7 linked regions of the Rattus norvegicus genome follow. The protein of the gene in region 1 interacts with the protein of each later gene in a pairwise test. Links are inferred from orthologs where the notes say so. Each region holds a gene or a part of one and is shown in the gene's direction. Other genes may lie near its edges.

The links.
Region 2: the proteins of Dazap2 (region 1) and Zc3h10 interact in binary tests that used the Homo sapiens proteins (3 or more experiments, as listed by UniProt). The two-hybrid records come from large-scale screens. The link is inferred for Rattus norvegicus from reciprocal best matches to the Homo sapiens genes DAZAP2 and ZC3H10.
Region 3: the proteins of Dazap2 (region 1) and Tollip interact in binary tests that used the Homo sapiens proteins (3 or more experiments, as listed by UniProt). The two-hybrid records come from large-scale screens. The link is inferred for Rattus norvegicus from reciprocal best matches to the Homo sapiens genes DAZAP2 and TOLLIP.
Region 4: the proteins of Dazap2 (region 1) and Arid5a interact in binary tests that used the Homo sapiens proteins (3 or more experiments, as listed by UniProt). The two-hybrid records come from large-scale screens. The link is inferred for Rattus norvegicus from reciprocal best matches to the Homo sapiens genes DAZAP2 and ARID5A.
Region 5: the proteins of Dazap2 (region 1) and Krtap8-1 interact in binary tests that used the Homo sapiens proteins (3 or more experiments, as listed by UniProt). The two-hybrid records come from large-scale screens. The link is inferred for Rattus norvegicus from reciprocal best matches to the Homo sapiens genes DAZAP2 and KRTAP8-1.
Region 6: the proteins of Dazap2 (region 1) and Fam168a interact in binary tests that used the Homo sapiens proteins (3 or more experiments, as listed by UniProt). The two-hybrid records come from large-scale screens. The link is inferred for Rattus norvegicus from reciprocal best matches to the Homo sapiens genes DAZAP2 and FAM168A.
Region 7: the proteins of Dazap2 (region 1) and Poli interact in binary tests that used the Homo sapiens proteins (3 or more experiments, as listed by UniProt). The two-hybrid records come from large-scale screens. The link is inferred for Rattus norvegicus from reciprocal best matches to the Homo sapiens genes DAZAP2 and POLI.

What each region holds. Positions count from the first base shown.
Region 1 is NC_086025.1:133,592,165-133,596,673, forward strand, and holds the start of Dazap2 (DAZ-associated protein 2), read left to right. Parts: upstream 1-1,372; 5' UTR 1,373-1,482; intron 1,483-1,537; exon of another isoform or gene 1,538-1,606; 5' UTR 1,607-1,771; coding exon 1,772-1,784; intron 1,785-2,932; coding exon 2,933-3,051; intron 3,052-3,736; coding exon 3,737-3,982; intron 3,983-4,509. UniProt on the Homo sapiens protein: In unstressed cells, promotes SIAH1-mediated polyubiquitination and degradation of the serine/threonine-protein kinase HIPK2, probably by acting as a loading factor that potentiates complex formation between HIPK2 and ubiquitin ligase SIAH1.
Region 2 is NC_086025.1:1,558,988-1,563,357, reverse strand, and holds the start of Zc3h10 (zinc finger CCCH domain-containing protein 10), read left to right. Parts: upstream 1-1,316; 5' UTR 1,317-1,360; intron 1,361-1,745; exon of another isoform or gene 1,746-1,886; intron 1,887-2,126; exon of another isoform or gene 2,127-2,150; 5' UTR 2,151-2,214; exon of another isoform or gene 2,215-2,290; intron 2,291-2,450; exon of another isoform or gene 2,451-3,166; intron 3,167-3,436; 5' UTR 3,437-3,488; coding exon 3,489-4,370. Other genes in the region: Rpl41 (small ribosomal subunit protein eS32), read left to right, coding at 62-73, 377-399, 618-660. UniProt on the Homo sapiens protein: Specific regulator of miRNA biogenesis. Binds, via the C3H1-type zinc finger domains, to the binding motif 5'-GCAGCGC-3' on microRNA pri-MIR143 and negatively regulates the processing to mature microRNA.
Region 3 is NC_086019.1:206,398,421-206,402,258, reverse strand, and holds part of Tollip (toll-interacting protein), read left to right. Parts: intron 1-151; coding exon 152-334; intron 335-1,389; coding exon 1,390-1,542; intron 1,543-2,695; coding exon 2,696-2,786; intron 2,787-3,838. UniProt on the Homo sapiens protein: Component of the signaling pathway of IL-1 and Toll-like receptors. Inhibits cell activation by microbial products. Recruits IRAK1 to the IL-1 receptor complex. Inhibits IRAK1 phosphorylation and kinase activity.
Region 4 is NC_086027.1:46,037,027-46,040,864, forward strand, and holds part of Arid5a (AT-rich interactive domain-containing protein 5A), read left to right. Parts: intron 1-1,758; coding exon 1,759-1,877; intron 1,878-2,715; coding exon 2,716-2,836; intron 2,837-3,116; coding exon 3,117-3,169; intron 3,170-3,495; coding exon 3,496-3,593; intron 3,594-3,749; coding exon of another isoform or gene 3,750-3,838. UniProt on the Homo sapiens protein: DNA-binding protein that may regulate transcription and act as a repressor by binding to AT-rich stretches in the promoter region of target genes.
Region 5 is NC_086029.1:42,203,435-42,206,243, reverse strand, and holds Krtap8-1 (keratin associated protein 8-1), read left to right. Parts: upstream 1-1,680; 5' UTR 1,681-1,725; coding exon 1,726-1,911; 3' UTR 1,912-2,238; downstream 2,239-2,809. UniProt on the Homo sapiens protein: In the hair cortex, hair keratin intermediate filaments are embedded in an interfilamentous matrix, consisting of hair keratin-associated proteins (KRTAP), which are essential for the formation of a rigid and resistant hair shaft through their extensive disulfide bond cross-linking with abundant cysteine residues of hair keratins.
Region 6 is NC_086019.1:164,468,218-164,472,556, forward strand, and holds the start of Fam168a (protein FAM168A), read left to right. Parts: upstream 1-1,229; 5' UTR 1,230-1,441; intron 1,442-4,339.
Region 7 is NC_086036.1:66,406,655-66,410,948, reverse strand, and holds the start of Poli (DNA polymerase iota), read left to right. Parts: upstream 1-1,232; 5' UTR 1,233-1,266; coding exon 1,267-1,366; intron 1,367-1,381; exon of another isoform or gene 1,382-1,531; intron 1,532-2,703; coding exon 2,704-2,829; intron 2,830-4,294. UniProt on the Homo sapiens protein: Error-prone DNA polymerase specifically involved in DNA repair. Plays an important role in translesion synthesis, where the normal high-fidelity DNA polymerases cannot proceed and DNA synthesis stalls. Favors Hoogsteen base-pairing in the active site.

The sequences.
Region 1 (4,509 bases):
ACATAAAGGGAATTTTTAAAATAACCTAAAAGAGTTCCCAAGCAGCCTTTATTTAGTGCAGCCTATACATGCTCTATGTGTCTACAGGAAAGCAAAATGGAAATCCTGATCCCGGAACCTGGAAGGCAGAACACAAAACTTGAGTCTGTAACCTGCCCTCGAGATCAGTTTTTCTTTTCTTCTCAAATGTTTATTTTTGTGTCTGCGTGAACCTACGACACGCATGCGCAGGTGGTCCCCAGGATGAACCAGATCAGCCTCTGGAAGAGCATAAGTGTTCTTGACCACTGAGCCTCCCCACCAGCCCCATCAGTGTTCTGTTGGAGAAGCAGGGATGCTCAGATAAGCCCGCTTGCCTCTCGGGCTGCTGTGTGGGACTGGATGAAACTGCATTTACAGGACGCCTTGCAAACTGTGATAGTCACCTGACACACAAGCAAGGCCTTCTTGGTGTTGGACGAATCCAGAATCCGTTCACCGAGGGCCTCTCGCTCCAGAGCCTCTCCGTCTCCTTGAGCGCGCACAACACAACTTCTGCAGACAGCTGCGTCGGTTCCTCACTCTGTGCGTGCCCATGAGGAAACGGGAAAAGTGTAATCACGGTCCTAAGAGACGTCGCCTCTACCCTTCAGGACAACTGGGAGTGGGCTAAGGCACACACAACGTCTGTAGGAGACTACAGGCCCCCTTAGGACGTGCCAGGCCAGGGTCAGCCTGCGCGGGGCACGGTCCATCTCAGGGCAGGAGCTTGATGCGGTGTCATGGTTTGTATCAGGGCGCCAAGCAGGGCGCGGGGACACGGTCTACCTCCGCACGGATCCGGGCGCGGGGGCAAGGTCACCGACCCCGGGCGCTGGACCGTCAATAGGAGGCCTGGAAGAACCGGAACGCGGGACAGGCTAGGATCTGAGGTCCAGAGGTGGCTCAGAGCAAGGGCGCCGCCCTAAGACAAGCCCTCTACGAACTTCAGGGCCCGGTGTGAGGGGTGGGCGGGGCACTGGTGAAGGCGGGGCATGCGGGGAGGAAGGGCTCGCGGTGAGGAGGAGGTGCGCGGTGAGGGCGGGGCCACGCAGGGAGGGCAAGGAGGGCGGGGCTACACGATGAGGGCGGGGAGCGCGGTCAGGGCGGGGCCACGCAGGTATGAGGGGCACGGGGTGAGGTGGGGCCGCGCAGGGAGAGCGGGGACCCCGGGGAGCGTGGGGAGGGCGGAGTCACGCAGGAATGAGGAGCTTGGGGTGAGGGCGGGACCACTCAGGGAGGGCGGAGTCACGCAGGGAGGGCGGGGCATGCGGTGAGGGAGGGGAGCGCGGTTTGGGCGGGGCCGCGCGGGAGAGCGGTGTGGGCGAGGAGGGCGGGGCCACGCAGAGGATAGCGGGCACCGGGTGAGGCGAGGCCGCGCAGGAAGAGCGGGGAACCCGGGGAGCGCGAGGAGGGCGGAGCCACGCAGGAAGGGCAGGGCATGAGTTGAGCCTAAAGCGCGAGGTGAGGGGGAAACCGCGCAGGGAGGGCGGGGCCGCGCGGGAAGGAGCTGCGCGAGGTGAGAGCAGAGCGCGCAGGGAGGGCGGGGCACCCGAGAAAGGCGGGGCTGTAAGCGCCCTCCTTGCAGCGACTGGCGGGCCTGCGAGGGGGCGGGGTTTCCGGCGGCAGTGCACTCGGGCATCGACTGACGCAGAGTGGACGGGCGTCACGTGACACGGAAGTGACTCCGAACAGGAAGAGGACGAGAAAAATAACCGTCCGCGACGCCGAGTGGAAGTGGATTAGAGCCACCATGAACAGCAAAGGCAAGGCCGGGAAGCGGCGGAGGTCGTCGGGGACGCGGGCGGGTTCGGGTCGAGTGGGCCCGGGGGCGGCGGGCTCGGGGCGGTCAGGGCCGCTCTCCTCAGCAGGCCGCGGAGCGGGGCCGCACCTGACGTGTCCGCCCCCCCTCCCCCACACACCGCAGCAACTCGGCTCTCCGGGCCCCGGCCCCATAAACTCTGTGGCGCAGTTTGGAGCCGCGGGCTCCAGTGTGTGAGGTGGGGGTGTTTTTCCGTGACTGACACCGGCTGGAGCGAATGGGGAGCTAGAGCAGGGATTTGGGTAGGCCAATGGAGGACCGGCAGAGGCGGGGCGCCGCGCTTCGGAACAACAGGCCTTGGCCGAGCTTAACTCGTGAGGTGCCGGCTCTGCTGCCCAGTCCCGGCCTTCAAGGATCCTTTCCCGCCTGCCTTCGACTTTTCGCGCTCCCTCCTCAGGGCCAGGATTTATAGTCGTGCCTGTGCTAATGTTTGTCAGACCATGGTCGCGTTTACCTCCCGCCCCCAGCCGCCGCCCTTCTCATGGTTAACTTCCATTCACTCACTCTTTGGAAGTCGACCTTGAGTAGGAACCAACCCGTGAGGTAACACGCAGAACCGTGGGTTCCACAGAGTCTGCACTGGTTACCGCACAGTCCGTGGGAGACTACCCGGACTAGAAGTCCCCCCAAAACACCAGCAATCCAGAATCCCCGGCACGGGTTCTCAGACCTGTCCTTTATTTGGGAGGGAACGGGGCCAAGTTACACTTGATTCCTCCATCAGTATGCTAGTGGGAACAGCGCCTTCTGCCCAGTCAGAACCCAGCACCTTCCACTGTGAGGGTGCAGAGACAATCTTTTATTTTCTTGGCTCTAAGAGCTAAGGCCCTGTGGGGCAATCTGTTTGCAATTCTTCTGCTTGAGCTCACCAAGTTAACTGCCCGTTTTACAAATTTTTTTTATTGTCTGTGAATGTGAGGGTAGGTGCCCACAAAGACAGAAGCTAGAGTTGAAAAGAGGTTGTGTCAGATGTGGATGCTGGGAACAGAACTTGGGTCCTCAGGAAGAGTGGCATTTTGTCAGGAGCATCTTTCCTATTTGCCACCTCCCTAATTTGATAGACAACATCTCTCTTCCCCTTTTGTATTCCAGGTCAATATCCAACACAGCCTACCTACCCTGTGCAGCCTCCTGGGAATCCAGTATATCCTCAGACCTTACATCTTCCTCAGGCTCCACCCTATACTGATGCTCCACCTGCATACTCAGAGGTACTGCACTTTGCTAGACTTTTAACTATTTGAATACACTCTTGGACCCCTCCCCCATTGTTAAATCTTCAAATTCAGAAGCAGAGAATGCTCTATGAACCGTCTAAAACATAAGTTAATAATTACCATTGGAATTGAACGCATTATCTGCTTGTTATTTGACATGCTGAGTTAGGCTGAGTTTGGGTCCCTTGAGCCCAGTAGTAGCTGTGGATGCAAATGACCCAGAAACTGTGTGCCAGTGACAGTAACCAGTGTGATCCACACACACAAGAACTGAGAATGGACTCATGAGCCATGCGTGGTGGTAAGACCAGTAGTCTCAGCACACGGAAGGCTCAGGCAGGAGGAGCTTGAGGTCAAGACTGTCTTGGGCTATAGAACCAAACCCCATTTCCAAAACAAAACAAGGGGCTGGGGATGTAGTTGATTTGGTAGAGTGCTTGCTTAGCATGCACCAAGCCCTGGATTTGGTCTCCAGCCCAATGTGAGCTGGATTTGGTGGTGCAGGCTTTTATTTCCATCAGTCAAGAGGTCAAGGCAGGAGAGTCAGGAGTTGAAGGTCATCCACTCCTACATTCTTGCAGGCTAGCCTGAAGTACAGGAGATGGTCTCAGCAATACTTAGAGGAATTTCAAATACCAGTGTCACAGAAATATTTTGCCTTCTCTTCTGCTTCTTTTAGCTCTATCGTCCAAGCTTTGTTCATCCAGGGGCTGCCACAGTCCCCACCATGTCAGCTGCATTTCCTGGCGCCTCGTTGTATCTGCCTATGGCCCAGTCTGTGGCTGTTGGGCCTTTAGGCTCCACGATCCCCATGGCTTATTACCCAGTTGGTCCCATCTATCCACCTGGCTCGGCAGTGCTGGTGGAAGGAGGGTACGATGCAGGTGCCAGATTTGGAGCTGGTGCCACCACTGGCAGCATTCCTGTGAGTATGCCTAACCAAGAGCTCAGCCCTCGTGCACTTGAACCGTCTGAAATGACTTCATACTCATTCTCCTACCATCCCAGGGTAGTAGTAGTCAGGACTGGCACAGCTGCTGCCCTCTCATGACAGAAATGTGGCTGGGCCAATCAGGGCATTGGGCACAGTCCTTAGAGTTAATCAGATTCATTTGTCTTCTTTTTTCTTTTTTTTCAGAGCTGGGGACCGAACCCAGGGCCTTGCGCTTGCTAGGCAAGCGCTCTACCACTGAGTTAAATCCCCAACCCCTCATTTGTTTTCTTGTCCTATTAAAATCCTGCTAGCGGGCTAGAGAGATGGCTCAGTGGTTGAGAGCACTGACTGCTCTTCCAGAGGTCCTGAGTTCAAATCCTAGTAACCACATGGTGGCTCACAAACCATCTGTAATGGGATCTGATGACCTCTTCTGGTGTGTCTGAAGACAGTGACTGTGTACTCACAGACATGAAATAAATTAAAAAAAAAAAATACTGCTAGCCAGGTGATAGTGG
Region 2 (4,370 bases), about 130 Mb from region 1:
TACTCTCATCACAGCAGACTAACGGCAATTTCTTCCCTTTCTTTCTAGAGACTCCTGCGCCATGAGAGCGAAGGTGAGCGGTTCATAAGTGGTGAGCTTGGGCGGTAGGAAGGAATTGTGAGGCGGAAAATCAGGCAGTGAATCTCCGCCATGGTTCTTCATCGGGTTTGCAAACGGTTTGCTTCGGGTTTTCACAGAGCCGAGTACAGGCTTAAGTCGTAGCTGGAGGAAGGTGGGAAAACAAGATTCGGATCTAAAATTGAGCCAGTGCCGCACCAACTCTTGATTCTTTGTCAAACCTGTTTTCTGAGTAATGTTCTTACCCGGGCCTACTGCTAACATTCTTTTTTGTCTTCTCACATGATCGGGCTTTTAGTGGCGGAAGAAGAGAATGCGCAGGTACGTTAATTTTTTGACTTAACATTGGGGCAAAGGGGCAAAGCTTGGGGTGGGATGTTTAGAAGAAACTTAATGTGAAAATGTTTGGCGTGGAGGGACGTTTAAGCACGGTTCATCGGAGCTGGTGTTGTTTAATTTCATCGTATTTTGTACGAAGTGCAGATGGTAAATGTGGGAAGGGGAAAAAATTAACTCGGTTTGTGTGCCTGCCTTTCCAGGCTGAAGCGCAAGAGAAGAAAGATGAGGCAGAGGTCCAAGTAAACCATCTTGTGCACCCACGAAGCCTGCGGGAGCAGAAGTAAGGGATGCTGAAGCCCGGAACAAGTGGTTGGACTGTATGCTGCTGTCGGTAATAAGTCTCAGTAGACCCGGAATGTCACCTCGCCGAGATCAGCTGGGAAAATGACTACCTTCCTCACAACCAAAACAGTCCCGCTGGCCCTCTGCCCTGGACCTTTGGCATTCTGGACTAGTTCTGTTCTCTTGTGGCCAAGTGTAACTCGTGTACAATAAACCCTCTTGCTGTCAGCTGAAGAATCAAATCGCTGTTACGTGTTTTTTGCGGCTCCTTTGGGTGGGGAGTTGTGTAGTCCAGTGTAGGCAACAAGAGCCCGGGTGTTTGCGATCTGGCTGGAGCCAGTTGATTTAGTGTGCGCCTGAGTTTAAGTTAGAGTTCGTGCATTCGCAGTGCCACTTCTATGTTTTGGGGGGCCCCTGCGTAGAAGTTGACGCTGTGCGAGTTCCGGGTGCGGAGGAGTCGTGTTACCATGGTGACGCGCAAGGCTTGCTGGGAGCTTCCTGCGGTTAAGAGCACGCAATGGGACCATAGAGTGTGTTTCCGGGTCTGGTGGCTAGAGCGTCCCTTTCTTCCGCAGGAAGCGGAAGAGCCGTAGGGTGGGCGGCTCTTTGTCGAAGCTAGAGGACCGGCAGGCGGCAGCAGCAACTACGGCGGCGGCGGCAGGTGAGGGAGGCGGGAGACTTAGGTGGAGGCCGCGCCCGGAGGGGAGGAGTCGGGGATGGCCCATCGGCTGGGCTCTGCCGGGCCCCACGAGCCTCCTCCAACAACCCCCCCCCCCCGAACCGACCTGGCTTGGCTTTTCCTGGTTACCCAGAACAGAGCCCTTTTTCTGATTGACCTCGCTTCCCGAGCAAACGCCAGCTCCGTGACGTCACAGCCCTGCCCATCCCCTCAGCTTGATGTCACCCTTAGCCCCCCTCCCCTTTCACTTCGCTTCCTTAGTGTCCTAGTCACCTGGTCCCCGGCTCAGTGCTGGCGCCGCATCACGGAGCCGGCCAAGCCAGAAGACTTCCAGGGGAACTCGTAGGACTTTTCGTGAACTCTAGGGTGTTGGGGACCGTCGTAATCACCGCCCCCAAGTCTTAGATCGCCTTCCCACTGACAGTAGTCAGTTGTTGCCCTTGTCCAGCTTTCAGGTTTGGCGTTCCGAAATCCAACCTTCTGAACCCCATATCCTTCTCATCTTGAGGTAAAGCTCCCCGAACCCTTCTGCCACCAGAAACTATTTTGTTTTTCAGTTCAGCTTCCCAATCTTTATTGGTCGGTCCTAGCCCTATCTTTATTAGGGACTTCTCCCTATGATAGGTGACTGGCACTTTGAACTCTTAAGGGAGCCTAAAAGCCACTTTTTATTAGAATTCATTTCAGTGTATGAAAACCACCTCGTAGCCCTTTCACGTTGTTTTCCTTGTTCTACTCAAATCTCCAGGTTTTTTGTTTCTTTCTTGTTCAGAACCCAGCAGTGATGTGGAGGTGGAGACTCACGGGAGCCCCGGACTTCACCTGAGCTACCTCAGGTATTAATTCTGGGATAATGGGGTGAGGAAGATTATCATATCCAGTTACCTGCTTCTGGTGGGACTTGAAATATAGGTGAGGCTCTGGAGGTATTTAGTCTTCACCCGGTCGTCATTTTTCTTTCAGTAAGGGCTTGTTTTTAACCACTTGTTTCTTTTACTCTGGGTCTGCTCTTCCCATCTTGCATATTCTTGTGTATCTCTGGCTTCTAATCTTGTTAGTTATTTTAGGGAAATCTAAAGGCAAAGTCAAGGAAACGGGTGTGAATGGGATAGGTCAAAGAAATCAAGAAAGGTACCTTTATTCCCAAACGGAAACTATGAACCTCTCCTATTTGACCTGTAGGGGGAGCCTGAGTATTTAGGGAACATTTAGAAGATTAGACACGTGTTAGCAGGGACTCCCAGTCTTACTTAGGGGTAGAGAGAAGGGAGGGCTAGAATTAGGGCAGTGGATCTACATTCCAGACCTCTCTTGAGAAACAGGAGACTTAAAAAGCTTTTATAGAGTCTATAAATAAAGAGGATTTGTATGGGGTAAGGAGTGCTATGGTTTGATATTAGTCGGAGTGCAGTGGGGTGGAGAATGGGGAAAGAAAGGTCACCGTTCCTGTGAAATTAACCCCTTCCCACCTTGAGCATCCCACAGTTTGTCCTAGGATCTAGAAGTAGAAAGTTCAGGTCAGAGCTTCTTCCCCGAAATGAGGGTGTTTGTGTGTGGAACAGACTGGGAGATGAACAGGTTTAAGGATGACCCTGTAACTAGTGACACCAGTCTTTTTACCAAGGGTTTCTACAATTCATGGAGACTTGCTGAGTTCACATTGAAGAGGGATTAAGGGAAGTTCTGTTTCTGGTGTCCCTTCATCCACGAGTTCTCAGAGCAAAATAGCCCAGTGTTCACACACCAACACCTGCTTTAGTTTCTCTCCCACGACTTAGAAGAGAGAAGGTAAAACCTCACACTGCCCCCCTCCCCCTCCCCGGCTCATGTTAGTAAGAGAAGTGGCTTCAGCCCAGCTCTCTCCCTCTTCTGTTAGCCAGGCAAGTGTGAATCACTCCAAATGAGACCAGGTGCACAAGGGCCTAGGCGGGGCTCTGGCAAGGCAGCTGGGCCGGCTGGGCTTCTCCTTGGGCTCTCCATCTCCAGAGCCACTGCCCCAGAGGACTGGGGGCTTCTGGAGGACCTGTTTGACACCGTTCTCTCTCTCTTTTTTAACAGTCACCAAGAGTGGCGAGAGAAGAAACAAGACCCTGAGCTGGGGGGAACCAGGATGCCTGACCGGGACAGCTATGCCAACGGCACTGGGAGCAGCGGTGCAGGCCCTGGAGGTGGTAGCAGTGAGGAGGCCAGTGGAGCAGGGACAGGCAGTGGGGGGGCCACCTCAGATGCCATCTGTAGAGACTTCCTGAGGAATGTCTGCAAGCGAGGCAAGCGTTGTCGATACCGCCACCCAGACATGAGTGAGGTATCCAATTTGGGGGTAAGCAAAAACGAATTTATCTTCTGCCATGACTTCCAAAACAAGGAGTGTAGCCGTCCCAACTGCCGCTTCATCCATGGCTCCAAGGAGGATGAGGATGGCTATAAGAAAACAGGAGAGCTGCCTCCTCGGCTGAGGCAGAAAGTGGCAGCTGGGCTGGGTCTCTCACCTGCTGACCTACCCAATGGTAAGGAGGAGGTCCCTATCTGCCGTGACTTCCTCAAAGGTGACTGTCAGAGAGGAACCAAGTGCAAGTTTCGTCACCTGCAAAGAGATTTTGAGTTTGAGGCTCGAGGTGGAGGAGGCACTGGAGGTGGAGGCTCGACAGGCTCTGCTCCCCCAGGACGACGGCATGATCTCTATGACATCTATGACCTTCCGGAAAGGGGCTTTGAGGACCATGAACCGGGCCCTAAGCGCCGGAGAGGTGGCTGCTGCCCTCCTGATGGCCCCCATTTTGAGTCCTATGAATGTAACTTGGCTCCGCTCCGTGGAGTGGAGTGCAGACTGCTCGAGGAGGAGAATGCTCTGCTCAGGAAACGTGTGGAAGAACTGAAGAAGCAGGTCAGCAACCTGCTGGCCACCAATGAGGTACTTCTGGAGCAGAACGCCCAATTCCGAAATCAGGCCAAGGTCATGACCCTGAGCTCCACTGCACCCGCGACTGAGCAG
Region 3 (3,838 bases), on another chromosome or scaffold:
TTCAAGAGCAGGTTACTGACACAGTGAGGTGAACTTGAAGACTGTTTTTTCACACACTAGGAAATACCTGTAAGGAAAGCAGTTTACATAAGCACTGGCTTTTGTTTCTGCTGGTGGATGCCTCATTTTTCTAAATTTGGTGTTATTTCAGGCCAAATTGGCAAAGAATTATGGCATGACTCGTATGGACCCTTACTGCCGCCTGCGTCTGGGCTATGCTGTTTATGAAACTCCCACAGCACACAATGGCGCCAAGAACCCTCGATGGAACAAGGTTATTCAGTGCACAGTGCCCCCAGGTGTGGACTCGTTCTACCTTGAGATCTTCGATGAGGTGAGAGATGCTCCAATGTTACAGAGTTGCCAAGTTTGGGATCTGGCAGCCATGGGTGTGCTGCATGTGCCTTGTGGTTGTAGTCATGAGGCTGTTCTACTGGTGCTCAGGACCTTTGTACCTAGCATTTAGTGACTAGTGACAGGGTGTAACCTGCCTGGACACCTGGCATTTAGTGGCTGAATGACAAAGTACAGTTTCTTTGACAGTGTCCATTAGGAGCCATCACCAGTGATAGAAGCATGAGTAGAGTGTGAAGATAGATGTTCATGGATAAGTCGAATTACAAATAAGTCAGCACCCTCAGTGAGGGGAACACTGTTCTTGCAGGCCTCAGTTCCAGGCTCTGACACTAATGTCCCATGGCCATACCAGCAGTTAGGTGTGCAACTTTTTGAGGGCAGTCAGGAAACTCAGGTGGCTGAAGATGTCTTCTCGCAGCTTAGTTCTGGAGACCATGTGCTTGCCTCCTTGAAACAGAGCAAAGGGCAGTGGGAAGAGAATGGGGACGGTGAGAGCCAGAAAGGAAGTGGGCATGGGTAGTCCAGCGAGGGGGACGCAGCCACTCATTTGTCTTTACCCCCTTCCTCTGCTTTCTTCTTCAGCGTCTGTGAAGAGTAGGGATATGGGAAGGAGGGTTGGGCTATGGATGGGCTGGCAGCTCTTGTCCTTGTCTGTACCTACTGGGCTTGAGACTTACAGCTTCTATCTAGTTGATTAGTTAGGGCCACAAGGACTGCAGAGGACAGTGTCCATCCCTGAGCAAGGATGGCAGCCAAGAGATTTCTTTATTGTCCTTTGGCCTGACCTTATGGTGGTTACTCAGAAGATGCAGAAGTAGTGGTGGCCAGGTACAGGTCACCTGGATGTCTGGGATTGTGGTTTAATGGGAAGCTCCTTGGAGGAAGCTGGAGCAGTGAGAGGAACCCTGTCCTGCCAAGAACACAGAAGGTAGATGCAGGCGGCAGTCCAAGCACAGCCTTAGGAAAAGCTGGTCTCTATAACATGGGTCGTTGAGGGCCATAATGAGGTCATTTTACTCTTGTCTTCCTCAGCGAGCCTTCTCCATGGACGACCGCATAGCTTGGACCCACATCACTATCCCCGAGTCCCTGAAGCAGGGCCAAGTGGAGGACGAGTGGTATAGCCTGAGTGGGAGGCAGGGCGACGACAAGGAGGGCATGATTAACCTGGTCATGTCCTATACGGTGAGTTCACTGTCTGGCGAGGCCATTCTCAAAGAGGGTCTGGCACCTCCTTGAGATAGCTATGGCTCCCAGAACCTTGGGAAGTCATGGGAGGCAGGGCTGGGGGTCTGGTTTCCCACTGTCTCCTTTGTATTATCTGGGCCTTTCCTTTTAGTTGTTCTTGAGCCTTTGAGAACAGGGGAGTATAAAGCACCCGGTATGCAGGCCTCCTCCGCTTTACCATCCTACATGCCTCTCCTGGTGTGGAGTGTCACCCATCTTTAACAGGTGCTTTATGTAGCATAGGTCCATTGTATACTCGCTCATCTACAGTTCAAGATTATTTGAGCTGGGGCAGGAGAGGTGACTCAACAGGTTAAGAGCACTGCTGCTCTTGTGATTCCCAGTACCTTCATGGTGGCTGACAACCAACTGTAACTCCAATTCCAGGGGATCCAATACCCTAATCTAACCTTCACTGGCATCAGGCACACACATAATGCACACACATATAGGCACACAAAACACTAAGATATGTTAAATAAAACAAAGCAGTTCAGCATTTCCGAGAGAAGCTACTGATACTGATGCAGTCTCCAAAATGGACCCTGAAGGGAGCTTTGTAAGTCCTGTGTGAGAAGTGGTGTGGTTGTAGCTCGTGTGAGCCAGTGGTTGACATCATTTGTTTTCTTTGGTCTTCACCTTGACTCTTGTTCTCACTGAAACTGAAACTCATTCCATTCACTAGATTGGCTGGCTAATGAACTTGAGGGATCTTCTTGTCTCTGCCTCTCTCGTCCTAGGATTATAGATATGTGTCACACACACACACACACACACACACACACACACACACACACACACATAAACATAGCTTTATATATGGGTGCCGGGGATTGAACTCATGTCCTCATGCTTGTGCACCAAGCACTTTCCTAACTGAGCTGTAGTTCTGAGTCTGCAGCCCAAGTCTTCCAGCTGAAGGGAGGAGGTCTGCAGGAGTGGTGCAGATGAAACCAGTGGCCATGGACACTACATTCTTGCTGAGGATTCCATGTCTTGGGTGTTGCTGTCTGGGCTGTGGCTAGGACTAGCCCTATGATACCAGAAGTAACAAGATTGACATATGGTATGGTCCTCCTTGACACCCATGTTTTTCTTTGTTGTGTTTCAGTCCCTTCCAGCTGCCATGATGATGCCGCCTCAGCCTGTGGTTCTGATGCCAACTGTGTACCAGCAGGGTGTTGGCTATGTGCCCATTGCAGGTGTGTACTGCTTCTTTGGTAGGCATCCCAGGGACAAAGTAGGACAGGAGGAGGGAGGGGCCCAGCATTCCTATGAAGCTTGAGTAGTGTAGAATTGTGTAAGCATGGCTATTTTAAATGAAGACCTTCTAAAACCTACTCCAGTGTCATATTTGAATTATTTTTGTATACATAGGAAGTAGTGTTTGCTCTGTTTTTGCCACAAGTAAGGTGAGTTGAAATTTTTAGAGGTGTAGAAACGTTGTCTAGGAATATTTTCATGTATGAGTTGTAGGAATAAGAAAATCTGGTTCCTGTTAGACAAGGCATACTACATCTTAAATCATGGCTTTCGTTGAAAGTATTTACCCATGTAAATTAATACCTGCTTGAGTCGTAAAGTCAAGATGTGGCTTTTATATATTTTTTTAATTTTTAACCTTCCTGTGGATTTCACAGTACCTGGTGTCCAGTTGGCCTTCCTACCAGAGTAGGGCAAGCCAGATGAGATCACACACCTGCTTTCTTAGCCAACAGGAAAGACTGTGGCTCTGAGAGTAGACACCAGGGCAGGCCTTCAGGACCCCTGTTCTCTGCTAGGGTTCAGGAAACTGGAGTCCAAGCAAACCATGTAGTCCTGCTATCCCAAGGAATTCAAAGGCTAAGGCAGTAGGGATGGCCAGTCCATAGGGCAAGAGGGAATATGAGATCCTGGATGGGGCTTTGCCTATATGGTCCCTGCTTGCTGGTGCTCAGAGTGAGCATTGCTTTGGATCTAGGACAGCACAGAGCTGCTGTGGTTCATCTGTGTGGGGTCTGAGGGTTCCACACAGTCAGAATGGAGTGACTCATTAGTCTTTATTAAACTTAGCCCTTACGCCAGCTGAGCGAGGGAAGATAGTACAGGACTTGGGAATGAAATCCACCCACACATATCCTGAAAACAGCCCTGACAGACAGAACTTGGGCCTTCTGCCTATGACAAATCTCCCTGCAGGGACAAAGGGCAGCGTTTTCCAAAGGAAAGGGAGGGTAAGTTCACAGGGTTCCAGGGCCCTGCAGTATTTGAACTG
Region 4 (3,838 bases), on another chromosome or scaffold:
TTGACCTGGTCTGCAGAGCGAGTTCTGGGACACCCAGCCCTTTAATTGGACATGGTATCATGTAGCATGTAGTTTCTATACCTCCCTTTAAGCTCAGGGCAGACTGAGCTACCAGCCCTCACCCAGGAGCCACCTCGGATCCGCAGATGAAACACAAACACACACACACATTAGCTTATTTTTAACAGCTGGACTCTAAGCCTTCCTCGACTACCACACCCTTCTTTTCACTCCCAGCTCAACACCCTAAATCTGCCCTCAAATTAGTTGTGTCTCTAATCTCCTGCCTGCTACCCTAGGCCCAGTCTAGGCCAATGGTCACCCTACCCACCTGAGACCTCACATGGCTATTGGCTCTTCCCCCCTCTGAAGCATGGCAAATCTTTTCTCCTCTCCTGTATCTGCTAGCCCACCTGCAGGGAATCTGGAAGCCCTGCCTCTTCCGCCCAGCCAGTAGCCAGTAGCATCGTAATTGATCAATCAAGAACCAATTGGAGAACAGGACCTTCAGGGTTCACACGCAGATTTCTGATCAGAGCATCAGAACCACCCCATACAGTATCATATAATGCCTGTCACCCCATCCTTCAGAAGGCAGAGACAGGAGGATTGCTCTATGTTTTAGGCCAGCCAGGGCTACACAGTGAGACATTACCTTAATTAATTAAATAATTAATTAAAAATTTTGGTCCAAATCTGATGGCAACTTGCCTCATCACCTGATATAGATAGATAGATAGATAGATATAGATAGATATAGATATGTATATGTGTATATATATGTGTGTGTGTGTGTGTGTGTGTGTGTGTGTGTGTGTGTGTATTGCAGTGGCCAATCTGTGTTGCTTTTGCAACCTCCTGCCCAGGCCACAGCTTTCAGTACACGGTGGCACATGTGACTTCCCCCGGGTCATCATCACAAGCCAAGAACCTCTATCATTCCTTTATCTAGCAGCTGTCTTGACCAGGGGCCAGGGGACTCATGGGTTTGGGCAGTTTGCAGTTCAGTCATGACGGACAGGACAAGGAAGGACACAGGAGTGCTGGAGTTAGCTGGGGCTAGCCAAGGCTACCCAGAGGGAGGGATTATGTCTGCTTTGAACGGCCATCAAGAACCTTGTTATTGAGGGCCTAAGAGCAGTAGGGTGACATCAAGGATGAAGCCTTGATGACATTCAGCCGAGCTACTCTAGTGCTTTCTCCCTGAACTTGGGCAGATTTGAGAGAGAGAGAGTGTCCCCAATCCTACCCAGACTCCTCTGGTTTGATCCTGGACAGTAATGAGGAGGCTGAGGGTTTCCTGCAGAGACGTAGGGGAGTGATTAAAATGGAGGTAAGAATAGAGAATGGCTGGGCTGGAGAGATGGCTCAGCGGTTAAGAGCACTGATTGCTCTTCCAGAGGTCCTGAGTTCGATTCCCAGCAACCACATGGTGGCTCACAACCATCTGTAATGAGATCTGATGCCTTCTTCTGGTGTGTATGAAGACAGCTACAGTGTACTTATATACAATAAATCTTAAAATAAAAAAAGAATAGAGAATGGCTGATAGTCCAGGGTGAGCCAGTGTGTCTGTGCAAGCGTGCGTGTGTACGTGCACATGTGTGCTGCTTAGAGGAACAGCTCAGTGTGGCACTGACCAGCACAGAGCACTCACCCCTTCCCTGGCTGATGTGAAGGCCCATCCCTCAGCCCCCTCCCCACAGTCCCTCCTACCCACATCTCACTTGCCTCTCCTCTTCTGTTCCCCTTTCCCAGCAGCACCTTCGGCTAAGGGGAAAGCGGAGCAATCAGAGGAAGGTGACCTCCAGGAGCCCCCTGTGTCCCCCAAGCCTCAAGATGAGCAGAGCAAGAGCCAGAGCCCCATCCAGCTTGAGGTGAGTTGGACAAATCCTGGGACCTCTTCCCACTGGGCCCAGCCTCCAGGGAACCTGAGACACCCCAAGCTCGGAGAGGGAGACAGGTGTCTACCTCATCTGGCAGGGCTGCCTGGGGCCCCACATTGGAAGGTGCAGGATATGGGTGCTAGGCAAGGCAGGACCTCACCCGGAGTTGTAGTGGAACTCTGATAATCTAACAACCTGGACTCAGTCACGAAATGGACGAACATACGTCTGAGGCACTAAGGCCTATTCCCACCCATTTGTCAAACTGATAGCGGGAAGCTACAGGCTGTAGGCCGCTTGGTACCAGGAAACACTGAGTGCCTTTGTGCATTTAGAACTTTGGATTTTGGGGCAGGGTATCTCTGTGTAGCCCTGGCTGTCCTGGAATTCTCTCCGTAGATCAGTCTGGCCTTAAACTCACACAGATCTGCCTGCTTCTGCCTCCTCAGTGCTGGGATTAAAGGTGTGCGCCACCACTGCCTGGTGTGCATTTGGCTTTTACCATATGGTTTAGGAACACTGACCCTGCCTTCTGAGAGCTGAGTTGGATAAAACAGATCATAGCAAGATATAAAAGTGGCCCTGGCCTGGAGGGCTGAGGGCTGGCCCTGTGGCCACTTCCAGGACTCTGGAGCTCTGGATTCCAGCCATTGACATGAACCTGGGCGCTAAGTCTGGGTTGCACTTGTGTGACCCGGGACAGTAGGCTTGGTGCTCCCAGGTAGCCCACAGTCGGGACCTAGGCACTTAGTCCTTCCCACAGCCGTGGTTTTCCAGTGTCCAGCTGCCCATCAATGGGGCCCATCCATGCCTCCTGCTCTCTCCCTAGGACTCCCCTAAGGCAGGTGGGGAGCAGGAGGAAGAACAGGCCTTCCTGGTCAGCCTCTACAAGTTCATGAAGGAGCGACACACGCCCATCGAGAGGGTGCCCCATCTTGGCTTCAAGCAGAGTGCGTCCCAGGGGGAAAGGGTGCAGGGGGGTAGATATAGGGGGCAGCCAGGGGATCCCCCCAGGCAAGACAGCAGGCAAGGCACCTCTGCTCCAGGTGACCCTGGATGCCACCAGCCTATAAGGGTTGCCTATGAGGACAGTGCCTCCCTGAAGGCCAGGGGTGGAGTTGGGTTCCCATCCTCCTGGCCATCTGCCAGCCTGCCCCATGTATAACAGCGGTCCTGCCTGGGAGTGTGGGGTTGTAGAGCCTGACAGTCTGCCTTGCCTCTTCCCTGCAGTTAACCTGTGGAAGATCTACAAGGCAGTGGAGAAGCTGGGGGCCTATGAGCTGGTAAGGAAGACTCTCAAGTCCCTTCCTGAGCTCCAGCCTCAGCCATACCCCTAGCAGGAGCAGGGTGGTTGGCAGGGCTGTCCTTGCCTGCAGACTGGAGGAAGATCAGAACACCCAGGCCCTGCCTGTGTGCTGTGGGATGAGCGACTGTGCACTTTGTATCTCTAAGCAGGTTTCCTCCTATCCACTGTTCCACCCTCCACTGGCACAGCTGGAGAAAGAACCCCCCAAATTCAGCTCTCATCCTCTCCCTGCGAGGGGAGCCTGGAGCTGAGAGGGTTCTGTGGCCAGAGGGTACTCAATGGCCCGTCTTTGGTGTCTTACAGGTGACAGGCCGCCGCCTCTGGAAGAACGTGTATGATGAACTTGGGGGTAGCCCGGGCAGCACCAGTGCGGCTACATGCACACGCCGCCACTATGAGAGGTACGCATGCCCTTAGAATGCTGTACAGCGAGGTCTTCCCCATTCCAGGGGCTTGGCAGGCGTGTGCTGGGAATGGGGTACAAAAGTAGTATTGAGACAGATGTGCTATTTGTGTCCAGAAAAGGGGCGGAGTATATGCACTTGTGTCCTTGTCAGGGTTGGGATCTGCAGCAAGACAAGGAAGGAGCAGAAGGCTTTGAAGACAGCAGGGGAGCCAGAGGGGCTATGGGGACGCCCACCAGAGG
Region 5 (2,809 bases), on another chromosome or scaffold:
GCATTTTTGTTATTTGATGAGACAACATGATGATGGTTGCAATGTATTATAACTCATTCCAAGGATTTTAGGGAATGTTTTCTAGTATCTTTACCTTTATGAATGAAGCTAAGGGCAATTTTCTGATCCCCTTTGGTAGTACATCACATGAAGAGTTTGAATTTTAAGTTCTGAATCAGCATAGGCAGCACCCTGTTTATGAAGCGGGGTGGTGGGGCAACTCTGTGTTTTCAGAATTGTTTTTGCTGTAATTAAACAATTAGTGGTTAGAACACTGGCATAGCTTTGAGTTTCTCAGAGGCTCATTTTGTCCTTGGAATCAACATATGCCCCCTTGGCTGTTGATAGAATAAAATCACGTCTGGGATGTTAAGTAAAGTCTGAGGGCTGGTGTGTAACAGGTTTCTGGTTTGTATTGTCTGGCTTGATCATACTTTGTTTTCTATTTCATGCCATGTGCCCTCATCTGTGGTACTTTTGTAAGTCCCATATAAAGTTCCATGAAAGGAAGGCTCCCTGAAGGTTTTGGGAGAATGATATTACATCATATATGGTCCAAGACAGCTTTGATAACTCTAATCGTCCTCCAATTCCTATTTGTGTACTAAATCTCCACTCAAAGGAGACTGATCTAGGCTTCCCATTCTAGGGCAAATAACCATTCTAAAAATGAAACGGATAACATATATTTCATTCATTGATCATTTCCAAGGTAGCTACCATTTCTCACTCACTTTTACAATCTCTAGCATCTAACAATTACTTGAAATTCAAAAGATGTTCAGTTTATGGCTTTTTAAAAAATATGATAATGAGTTCATAGTATCATTTGATGCGTCATAAAAATTATATTTTTCAGATAAAATGCTCTCACTTGATCTAATAGAAAAGTAGTCTTCATTTTAGGATAAAGATTTCTATCATTTTTATTGTTTGCCATGTTGCTACTTTAAATATTGCCTGAAATAGTGTATTAGATCAACGAATCACACTGGTATGGCATTAGCATTGGGATTTATCAACAAACGATACTTTGATGTCGCAGATTTTTTAATTGCAGGGGTGGTATAGACATGTATAGACATGTACTACTAGATATGATTCTGATGGGGTTTTAACCAATTAACTTTTCCACACAGGTTAGTTTCCCACACAGATTAGCTTATAAATGGGGGAGGTCTCTGGTAAGTATCTTACACACTAAAAAAAAAGTCAATAAAGAAAGAATTCTTAAATCCAGCAAATGGTAAGAGAGACTCAGATTCTGAGACAAACTCATAGCTTACTATTTGACTTAAAGTCCAACACACATCTACTGATTCTAACTGTGCTTGTGTAAATTCAGAGCAGGTGATGACTGGATTAGATCTAACAACATCGGACTCTTTCTTGGCGTTACAAAGCCTGCTAACTGAAATTATATATAGGGTCTGCGAGACCAAGCGCTTTTGAAGTCCCTGTAATAACCCATTTTGGAAGGCACATAACTTGTTTGATGGAATCGTCTCCTTGCATTGTATCACAAAGAGCTTTCTCATAGACTCTTAGGCAAGAGCACAGCAAATTAACGAGCTTTGTGTAGTGCAAATTGGTCTCAAGAATGAAAATGAGGGCCCTGTGTTTTCTTAAGCCACACCTCTCAGTCAGGGTATATAAAGGCCGCCTGAGACTACAGAATCCATCACACTCACTCCTCTCCTACCTAAGCCTTCCACTCCTGACATCATGTACTACACCGACTTTGAGGGCTCTGTCTTCCCAGGATGCTACTGGGGCAGCTACGGCTACCCACTGGGTTACAGTGTTGGCTGTGGCTATGGTAGCACCTACTCTCCAGTTGGCTATGGCCTTGGCTACGGCTACAATGGCTGTGGGGCTTACAGAAGATACTGGCCATTTGCTCTCTACTGATTTGCTGTGATCCCCTAGGCACAGATCCATCTCTTCATGAAGGCTCCATGGTGCCTCCCGGTTCCAGCTTCACCTCCTTTTATCCTTTGCTCATCAACCTCTCCCAAGAAGCTGCTTTGTCTCCAACAAAGGAACTGAACATCTAGTTGATGCCTTACTCTGCCTTTCCTGGATGCTCTCTATTGGGACTTTTCCAGAAGCTTGGCAACCACTATAGCACGTGTTGCTTTTGAATATGTCAAGACTTTCATGATTCCCTGTCATGGTGAAGGTGTGGACGTGTCTGTCAAATTCTCAATAAATTTGTCTGAGCTTGCACAGCATTTCATTCCTTGAGTGGAGTTTCCTTTCTTGGTATGTGCATATTTTCTGATACATTCAGTGGGGAAGGGAAGCAGGTTTAATTTTAATGACTTAGACTTAGGAGTTGTGAAGAGGCAAATAATCCTTGATCTTGTGTGATAAGTTAGCAAGAGGGTGGTTACTGTTCCCGAAAAGAGTTGCTTCTCTTGGCTTTTCTTGTGTTGTGAATTATTTTGGCATGGAAGCTGGACAGGAGTGAGACAGCGAAGGAGAAGGAGGGATTTTATGAGTCTGACGTCTCTCATGTCAGGCATACATTGTTTGGCCTCCCCCTTTTATCTCACTGTCCCGGCCTTTCTCCAAGTAAACCAGTACAGGAGAAACTTCCACAGGTATTCTGTGTTAGTGTAGATGAAACTCACTGTGATCTGTCTCCCAGGGAATACCGATTGCAGAGTTTAGCACCATGTCCCCTCTTTAAGGACTCTGGAGCATTAAGTAATAGAGAAGGTACACACATCCTTTGAGAGTCTGAGATTCTGTTAAGCGAAGCAATAAATCCCCTGTATCAAATCATCTTAGATGTCTACTTTAT
Region 6 (4,339 bases), on another chromosome or scaffold:
AAATGTATGTATGTATGTACATACGTATGTATATGTATATGAAATAGCTCTTCAGGTTTTAAAAAAATGGTGTGTGCTCCTTAAACAATTCAGGCAATATAAAGATAAGGGAAACTTGAAACCTAACTATCCTCTCTCAAAGATAGTCGCTGGTTACATTTTGGAGAATCTCTTTCCTGAAATCCTTATGCTTTTATATTCTCGAACTTCAAATAAATTGAAGCTGTCTAATCATGCTGTTTTTGCAATCAGTTTGCCCCTCTGACAAGATGACAAGAAATTGTGAAAAACCTTTCATGTCTAAAGATATTTACCATCATTTTAAATGGCTGCTTAGCATTACGTTGAATGTATGCATCACTATTTATTAAATCAGCCCCCTATCGATGAATGTCTACATTCTCCTCAACTCATATTCAACAACCTCCTATAATAACCGTGGGCATTGTTTTCTAAAAATTTCGATCATCTTTGCAAATTAAATACTTATTAAGTAATGTAAATGTAAACAAATGTCCTTTTTACAGGAAGATTCAATTTGGAGAATCGTCCTCTGATTTTCAGGGATGCCAGTGAAGCAGCTGCTGCATTAGTTCTAGCGAGACAGTGACAAACGGAGATCGCGAGAAGAGTACAGAATTACAGGTGAGGTAGCCAATCTAGGCCCAAGCTCAGTGGGTTGGAATAGTCCTTCCCCCTTTTCTCCCTTTCACTTCTTTTTTCTTAACATGGAGGAAGGACTGAGAACTGCATGTCCCAGCATTTCGCAAGGATCACACTCCTGGGAACTGTAGTACCGTGTCTGAGAGGGGTCCGGAAGGAGGGAATGGGAAGCTGTGTGCGGCATGCTGGGAGGTGTAGTCCCTCGGGCGGAAGGGGTTGCAAGTGTAGGTTGGAGACGTAGAGAGTTTTACTTCATGGAGATGAGGCTGCAGAAATATCCGACTTCTCTCTTAAGAGGTCTTTGAGTTTACAAAATCCCGTGGGAGTCGGCTTCATTCCCTTGTCTGTGACCCAAGAGGGTGCGGTCCAGGACCGGCGCAGGGTTGGGAGATCCAGGCCGCGCAGGGCCGCAGCAGAGCACACCGGGAGTTGTAGTCCAAGAGCTCTGAGGCTGTGGGACGTGTCGGGACAGCGCGCCGACTCCTCCTCCCCCGCCCTTCTCAGCGGTCCCCCGCCCCCTCCCTCCGCCTCCTCCTCTCTTGCCTGCAACCGAGCGTCCCCTTCCCCCACTGTCGGGTTTCTCCGCGGCTACTGCAGAGGATTCAGATCCGAGTAGCTGAAGAGAAGGAGGAGGAGGCTCCGGTCCCTGCGCGCCATCCACCACCCTACTGGACACGGACGAGGGAACGAGAGCGTCGCCGCTGTAGCCTTCAGAGAAGACAAGGGCATCGCCGCTTCTGCTGCCGCCGCCGCGGTTTTCGTCTGCAGCAGCTCGCCGGTGAGGAGACCCCCTTGGCCCCCGGCCCGCTCCCGTGGAGCCTGGGCTGGTGGCGCCGGGGAGAACGAGGGTGGGGGCCGTAGGGCCCCCGCGCCGGCTGGGGGGAGGGGACCGAGGTGGCGATGGAACGGCGGGCTGGTGGGGGAGACTTGTCCGTACGCGGGCTGGGGGTGGGGTGAGGGTGGGACACCAGCAGGTCAGGGGAGGGTAGCGGGGGGTGGATGGGTGAGGGGGGACGACTTTACATGGAGGGATAACCAGACCTGGGATAGGAGCATGGGTGTGTGGGGTACCGAGGTGGAATTTGGGATTGTCTTGGGGCGAGGTGGAAGGTGAGATTGGAGTGGGATGTGTTTTAATGGGGGAGGGGACTGAATGAAGGTGATGATTTGGGGTTGGCCTGAAGCAGTTGACAGCTTGGGATCAGAACGGGGTGGGGGCTAAGGAGATGATTTCAATGCCAGTGAGATATAAACATTGGATGGGACTCTGGGGAGTGCTAATTTTGGAAGGTGGGACTTGGGGAAGGAAGATGGAGATGGTAGGAGCTGGGGGTGAGGGGTTTGGCATGGGTTGAGACCCGAGCTTGAAGTGGGCTGTTGTCTTCTGGGGATGGTGGAATTTATGACTACTTACAGAAATAGCTTGGGCTTGGAGAGAACAGAAGAGGTAGAATTTGTTTGGGGTTTTCTTGAGGTAGGCTGCTGGAGGTTTGAATTTGGGCTGGGAGTGATGAGATTTCCAATTACTGGAGATGGGTGAGGTAAGCTGACAGGAGGGAGGGAATTGCAAGTTGGGCCCCAAACAGGAAGACAGGGATTGAAATTGGGGATGAGGGCTCAGTGGGGAAGGATTTAGGATGAGTTTAGAGTCTCTGGAGGGAGCAAGGTGGCTCCCCTGAGCATAAGTTGGAGGTAGGGGGTATGTGAAACTACTCAGCTGGACTCAACTAGAAGAACTGTGGCAGGTGTGGAGCAGGGTTAGGGATAGTATCTCGCTACCAGTCTCGCAGAAGTCATGTCTGTGATGAGCTGGTTACCTGCGGTGAGGTGGCAGAGGGTAAATTTAAGGCCTGGGAGACCTAATGTCTCCCATGGAGTGGGTTGGTTTATTTAGGAAAGGAAGGACTAAGATGTCCTTCGACACACCAGAGGTTTAGGGGTTAGAACATTTACATCGGGCTGCTGTGGTGAGAGACAATAACAAGGCCATTAGAAGGGTCTTCACCGGGGACAGAGAAGGAACATTAAAGATTCTCCTAGAGGATATCTTATGCTGTCAGTTTGACCTTTTTGTTTTATGTTGGAATTGTCTGGAAATAGCAGCCCCCAGGGTAAAGTTTTGAGAGAACCATTTAAGGTAGAATTAAAGGAGAGTGGGGAGTCTTGCAGTTCCTATGTCTAAAAGGGAAAGTTGGGGGTTAGAGGGGAGATCCACTCTTAAAGGAAAGGTGGGAGAAGGTGAAACTGTCTCTGCTTTCTCCTCCCCCCCCCCCCCTTGGTACACTGAAACTAGTCCTAGAATTCGGAATTTAAAAGGACTCTGATGAACTTGAGGTTGTTAAGGGTGCCTTCTTGCTTGAGAAGTGATTAACGAATAGGAAGACTGAATTTATTTTCTAGGCAGGCAAGGTATGTGTGTGCAGAAAGAGGTTAGCAAGCCCCACCTCCCCCCAATAAAATTGATTGCTTGAAGACTCCATTTATTGGTGTCCTGGTTTGCAAGGCATTTGGGCCCATCATTGTATTGCTGGCTAATAATCCTGAGATGAGTCTTGGCACTGCCGCTTTATGTAAACAGAGAGAAGACAGGAACTATGGAAATGTAATAAATATTCATTCTTTGGTGAGATGGTTTGGTACTGATGGAATTTTTCATTTGATTCTCTTGACATTACATGATAGGATTTAAAATAATTGGGCTGTTTCTATAGATTGAATTTTCTTCTAAAGAAATTCAAGTGATCAGAATTCTGTCAGGTGTGAATAAATGAAGTCTAATACACAGCCATATTTTATTGTTAAGGGGATGCTGTTGATGTAGACACATTGCATTCACTACAAGAGAATAACTCCCATCTATTCATCAGAAATTTGATTTGAAGCTTAGAGACGAGTTTATGCTTGTGGTTGGAAGGCCCAGAGGAATGTGAAGAGAGGGAACATCTTTAGGGAAACAGCTTTCGGATTTAATTGCATTAACTGTGATATGCTAAACTTGAAGTGGCTGTTGATTAGAGCATAGTCTAGGGAAAAAGTGAGGAGAAATGGAAAGAAGATAAAATTGATATCAATGGGAATTAAAAAAAATTTTTTTTTCTGTTAAAGTTCTAGTGTTCAGCTAGAAAACAAAGCATTTTCCTTGGTTTTCATAGCTTAACACATAAAAATACCCATTTAGAGGGTGGACTTATCCTTGGAATTGGAAATGTCCCTTTTTTTTAAAGGACGCTTTCTATATTCTAATCAAACCAAACCAAATGTAAACTGAAAACAAACAACAACAACAACAAGAAAAACCAAATAAATTCAAGCTTGAGCAGTTACCTGTAATTCATTGAGAGTGTAATCTAGCCAATGAGGGCCTTTCTCCTCATAACTTTACTCTGGGGTCCAGACCTTGCTTTTGTGAATTTGCAGGCATGCTCTGGACATGGGCTGGTCATGGTAAAGTCCTGGATTTTGAAATCTCAAAATAAGAAATCAGGTGGGAGAGCTGTTTGGGTGGATTTATTTTTCCAATAGTCATGGTTTACCTGGGCAGTTGTGAAGCAGACACTGGTAAAAAGTAGAGAACGGGTAGAGGGATTGGTAGCCTGGGTAAAATGAAGAGCCCAGGAATTGAGGAGTCGAGGGTTTTGACTTCAAATCCTGATTCCAACATTTGAAAGTGGAGTGA
Region 7 (4,294 bases), on another chromosome or scaffold:
AAAATGCCTCCAACAGACTGACTAATAGGTATGTCTGAGCGGCATTTCCTTGGTTAATGATTGATGTGGGAGAGCCCAACCTACTGTAGGCAGTGCAGCCCCTGAGGGGTTGGTTTTGGGCGGTAGAAGGAAGCAGGCTGCGTATTACCCAAATAAACCCTTTTCTGTCCTTGTTGCTTTTAGTCATGGTGGTTATCAAAGCAACAGGAAGTGAAGTGTGACATTTTTCTCTCAACAATCAGTATGTTCTACTCCACCAAGATAGGGAGAGAAAGGTATCAGAAGAAGCTCACAGAATCAAATATTGACATACCGGCACAAAAGCACCCCTAGAGAAGGCATGGACACAGTGAGCTGCTAATGTGCTAAGTGCTTTACAGACATCAAAATACTAAACTACGTTATTTCTTCTCCATTTATGTAATTAAGTGAATGCTGTTTTGTCTTTACAGTACAGGTTCAGAGCGGTTACATAACATACTCGGAGTCATAATGTCAGCAAAACCAGTCTGAAATGGTGATTTTATGACCCAAAGCTAGTGTGTCAAAGCACTATTATTATTTTTTTTACAAACCACTCAGGGGTTCAATGCAACACAGTCTCTCTAAATAAAACAAACAGACCTCAACAAACCTCAACATCTTTGCTAATCACGTCTTTTACGTGGGCATCTTGATCTTAATACAATCTATACCCTTTCCCCAATCCCATCAAAACAAATCACTCAGGTTTAGGGATTAGCGGTTTTGTTAATAATCATCGGAAAGAGAATATATTTAAAACGTTATTATTATTATTATTATTATTTTTTTACATGAGCCGAACACTGGAGCCCTCAGGGAAAACTGAATAAATAAAAGGAAGGAATGGGGTTGAAGAGATGTCTCAGGGGTGAGAATGCTTGTTGCTCTTCGTGGAACTCAAGAGCAGTTCCCAGAAGCCACCCGGGGCTCACAAACCCCAGTTAATTCCAGTTAACTTCAGTTCCTGGGGATCCAACGCTCTTTTCTGGCTTTTGCCGGCACTTGCACTCACACAGCATAAGCTCTCATATACACGTTTAAAAAAAAAAGATTAAAGAGAGAAAGAGGAGCATTCGGGTTCTTCCTACTCCACCTACCGACCACAATCAGGTCCTTCCCTATTCTCCCCGCCACTGCCACTCAGGCTGTTTTGCTTCAGTGCGCAGGCGCGAGGCTGGAGGCTGGGCCGTGGTTTCCTAGGAGACCGTGCAGCAGCTGCGCTGCGGTTGGCCCGAAGGGAAGATGGGGGTGGAGCCGGAGGAGGAAGGCGGCCCTGCGGAGGAAGAAGACTTTTCTCGTGCCATGGAGCCCTCGGACTCGGGGGCTGCGGGCGGCTCGCGGGGTGCGCGCCCTCCGGGTGATGGCGGGAAGGGAGGAAGGATGTGAAGGGCGGGTGCCCGGGGCGGTCGTTGGGTCGCGGCCTTCTGGTCCCGCTCGGGCCTGGAGAGTGCGGGCACTGCGTTGGCTGCTGAAGACTGGGGTGATGGCTGCATTCCTGCGCACACCGGTGGGGTGCACTTGTCTCCAGGGCGGGCAGGCCTTCTCTGACCTCCCGTGGGGACCCCTGCTGCTTCCGGCGGCCCCAAATCAGAGAATAGGAGGATTTTTGTCACCCATTTATGCCTAGAAACCTGGCCTCTGCCTGTGTTGGAAAGGATGGCCTGAACCTAGCAAGCAGGCTGGATTCCCTAGGTGACCCACTTCCACCCCAGCCTGTGGACCAGCCTTGTGGCGCCAGAATCAGCGCTGGGTACCCATTCCCTGACACATCCCACCTCCGGTTAACAGAAAAGTTGTGGCAGACAGGTTTCTTTTATATCAGCATTTTACATCTCCTTGGTACATATATTAAAGTCTGTACACAACCAATCCTCGTTTACTGGAAGACACTATATGCTCAGATTTTCTCAGTTTCCCCACAAATGTGCTTTTCCTAGCCCAGGGTTTCATTTAGCCTGCTTTGTAACTAAGGAAGGAAACTGTCCCTGTTGCTTCCTGTTGGACTCATAAACTACTGTTTACTCACTGGCCTGATGGCTTCATTCAGGTGCAGCCCTGACCCCGGTTTTTAAAATTAGATACTCAGTTTTTTAATTCAGTGCTTAAATTATTCGATTTCTGTTGCACCTCAGACACTGTTGTAGGCACTGGGGACTTTAAAACAGGAAATATTAACTCTTGTGGGGACTTAATTTAGTGTCTTGGAACCCACAGGTTGGGTTGTTTTGTTTTGTTTTGTTTTTAAATGTAGGAACAGGCCACTTTGAGTAGTTCTCAAGTTGGTTGAAAATAACATTGCTACAGTTTCTTTGCCTCTACTGTTTAAAAGCTTCTCAAGACCCTAAAATAGTACTGGGTTTTGTGCCATCCGTTATCGATCAAGAGTTCCCCCTTAAATTAACTAGTCAGAAGAAAAAGTAGCTGGAGAACTTATAGTCAATTAAGTTAATTGAGCAGGACTGAAGACCTTTTTGTTGATGGTGTTTCATGTCTTTTTGATTTGTAGGTACCGTAGAGCTTATTAAAAGTGGGGATTGGCTACTTCATAAATCCAAGGGGGGAGGGAAATGTCAAAGCCACTATATGTTCTTTTCTAGGTAAAACGTTTGAAGGATGTGCTAGTTGCTCTTTGACGATTAGCAGCCTGAATATGCTTGTTTTCCTTTGTGTATCGTGCAGCAGTTTGCGATCAAGGGGCACCATCACGAATCGCTTCGTCCAGAGTCATAGTACATGTGGACCTGGATTGTTTTTATGCCCAAGTAGAGATGATCTCCAATCCAGAATTAAAGGACAAACCTTTAGGTAATCCACATCGATGCTATCTTTGTTGAGTGGCGATAACATTAGCTTCAACTATGATTTATTAACCATTTTGAGGCAATTCCTGGAGTCCGTTTTTAGGTACTTCATTGGCGGTCATATTTGCTTTGCAGCCAGGGGTAAATGCACCAAATGTTTCCACCTTAATAAAGCTGATATTAGCATAGGTAACACACGCACAGAAAGCAGAATGGGCTCTTAATAGTCGTAGTAGCTTACTTCTGAAGGCTCAGCCTTAAGCAAGGAAAGTGGGTTTTCTTTCATGCACACAGAGAGGATCTTTACTATTAGCATAAAGGACAGTCTTTAGCTTCCTTGTTTCCTTCCTTTTCTTCTAGTACTCATTGCAGTGTCATAGCGTCCAGCCTGTGATTCCACGAAGGACAATGGGATGCCTAGGTTTTAGTTCTCCAGGGTGAGACTAAAGCTTGAAGCTTTTCTAAGAGGCCAAGGATTTAAATTAGGCCATCAGTTCTTTCCCTCTGAAAGAATTTCCAGTTAGCACAAGATGCCCAGTAGTTACTTCGTACTAAAAGGTATTTTGTGGTTAAGGAGTAGATATAAGTGGTTATCATGAAGAGAGATGTGAGTGTGCAAACAGGTCAGGCCAGGGCATACTGTGGGAAGCCCTTTTAGCTAAGGAGTTTGCCAGTCTGGCCGTTTCGTGTATGGCTCACAGAGTCATGGATAGCTACCATTGACTCAGGGCCTCTCAGATATTGAAAAAAAAATGTACCTGCAAAACTAACGTTCTGTCTTAGGACATTAGGTTTAAAAATATGCAAAAAGAATGGGTTTAGGTGTTTTTCATATTTTCATTCTATGTATTGCAGATGAATATGACTTAAGAGAGTCATGAAATAATCAACTTGTGTAAAAAGAGAAAAGCACATGCGCTTAGCAATTTTAAATGTGTTCTATAGATGATCATAATGTTGCCAATTTTAAAAAGCCCCACATAATTCCTCGCGGTAGCACTACTAATTGTTATGCCTAGGGTACTTATTGGCAGGAGATCTCTCATGATTTCTGTGGCTTGGCTCTTAGAACATTGCTTATGTTCACTGGCAGTTTGCTCGGAAGATGAATGTTTTTATAACATCAACCAGCATTTAATTGTTTTCTTTTGTTGTTGTTTTTGTTGTTATTTCCATCAGGTTATTGTTTGGTGAACATACCCAAGAATAGTACACGACAATATAAATTAATTGGGCTTTGAATTGTCTGAAAAGAATCTTAGAAGGATTAAATGTGTGTTTAATCACTGAAAACTCCAAAGAGTATATTGACTTAAGCATAATTTAGATTTGAGAGACACAGCTTCCCTTTGGGTACTGGTAACTGTCCACATTCTTCTGTGTAATTTCTGCTGCAATTATTTTGTGTTTTCTTACTTAATATACTTTGTTTCTTCTGTATTTTACTTTATTCTGTAAATTATTTTATA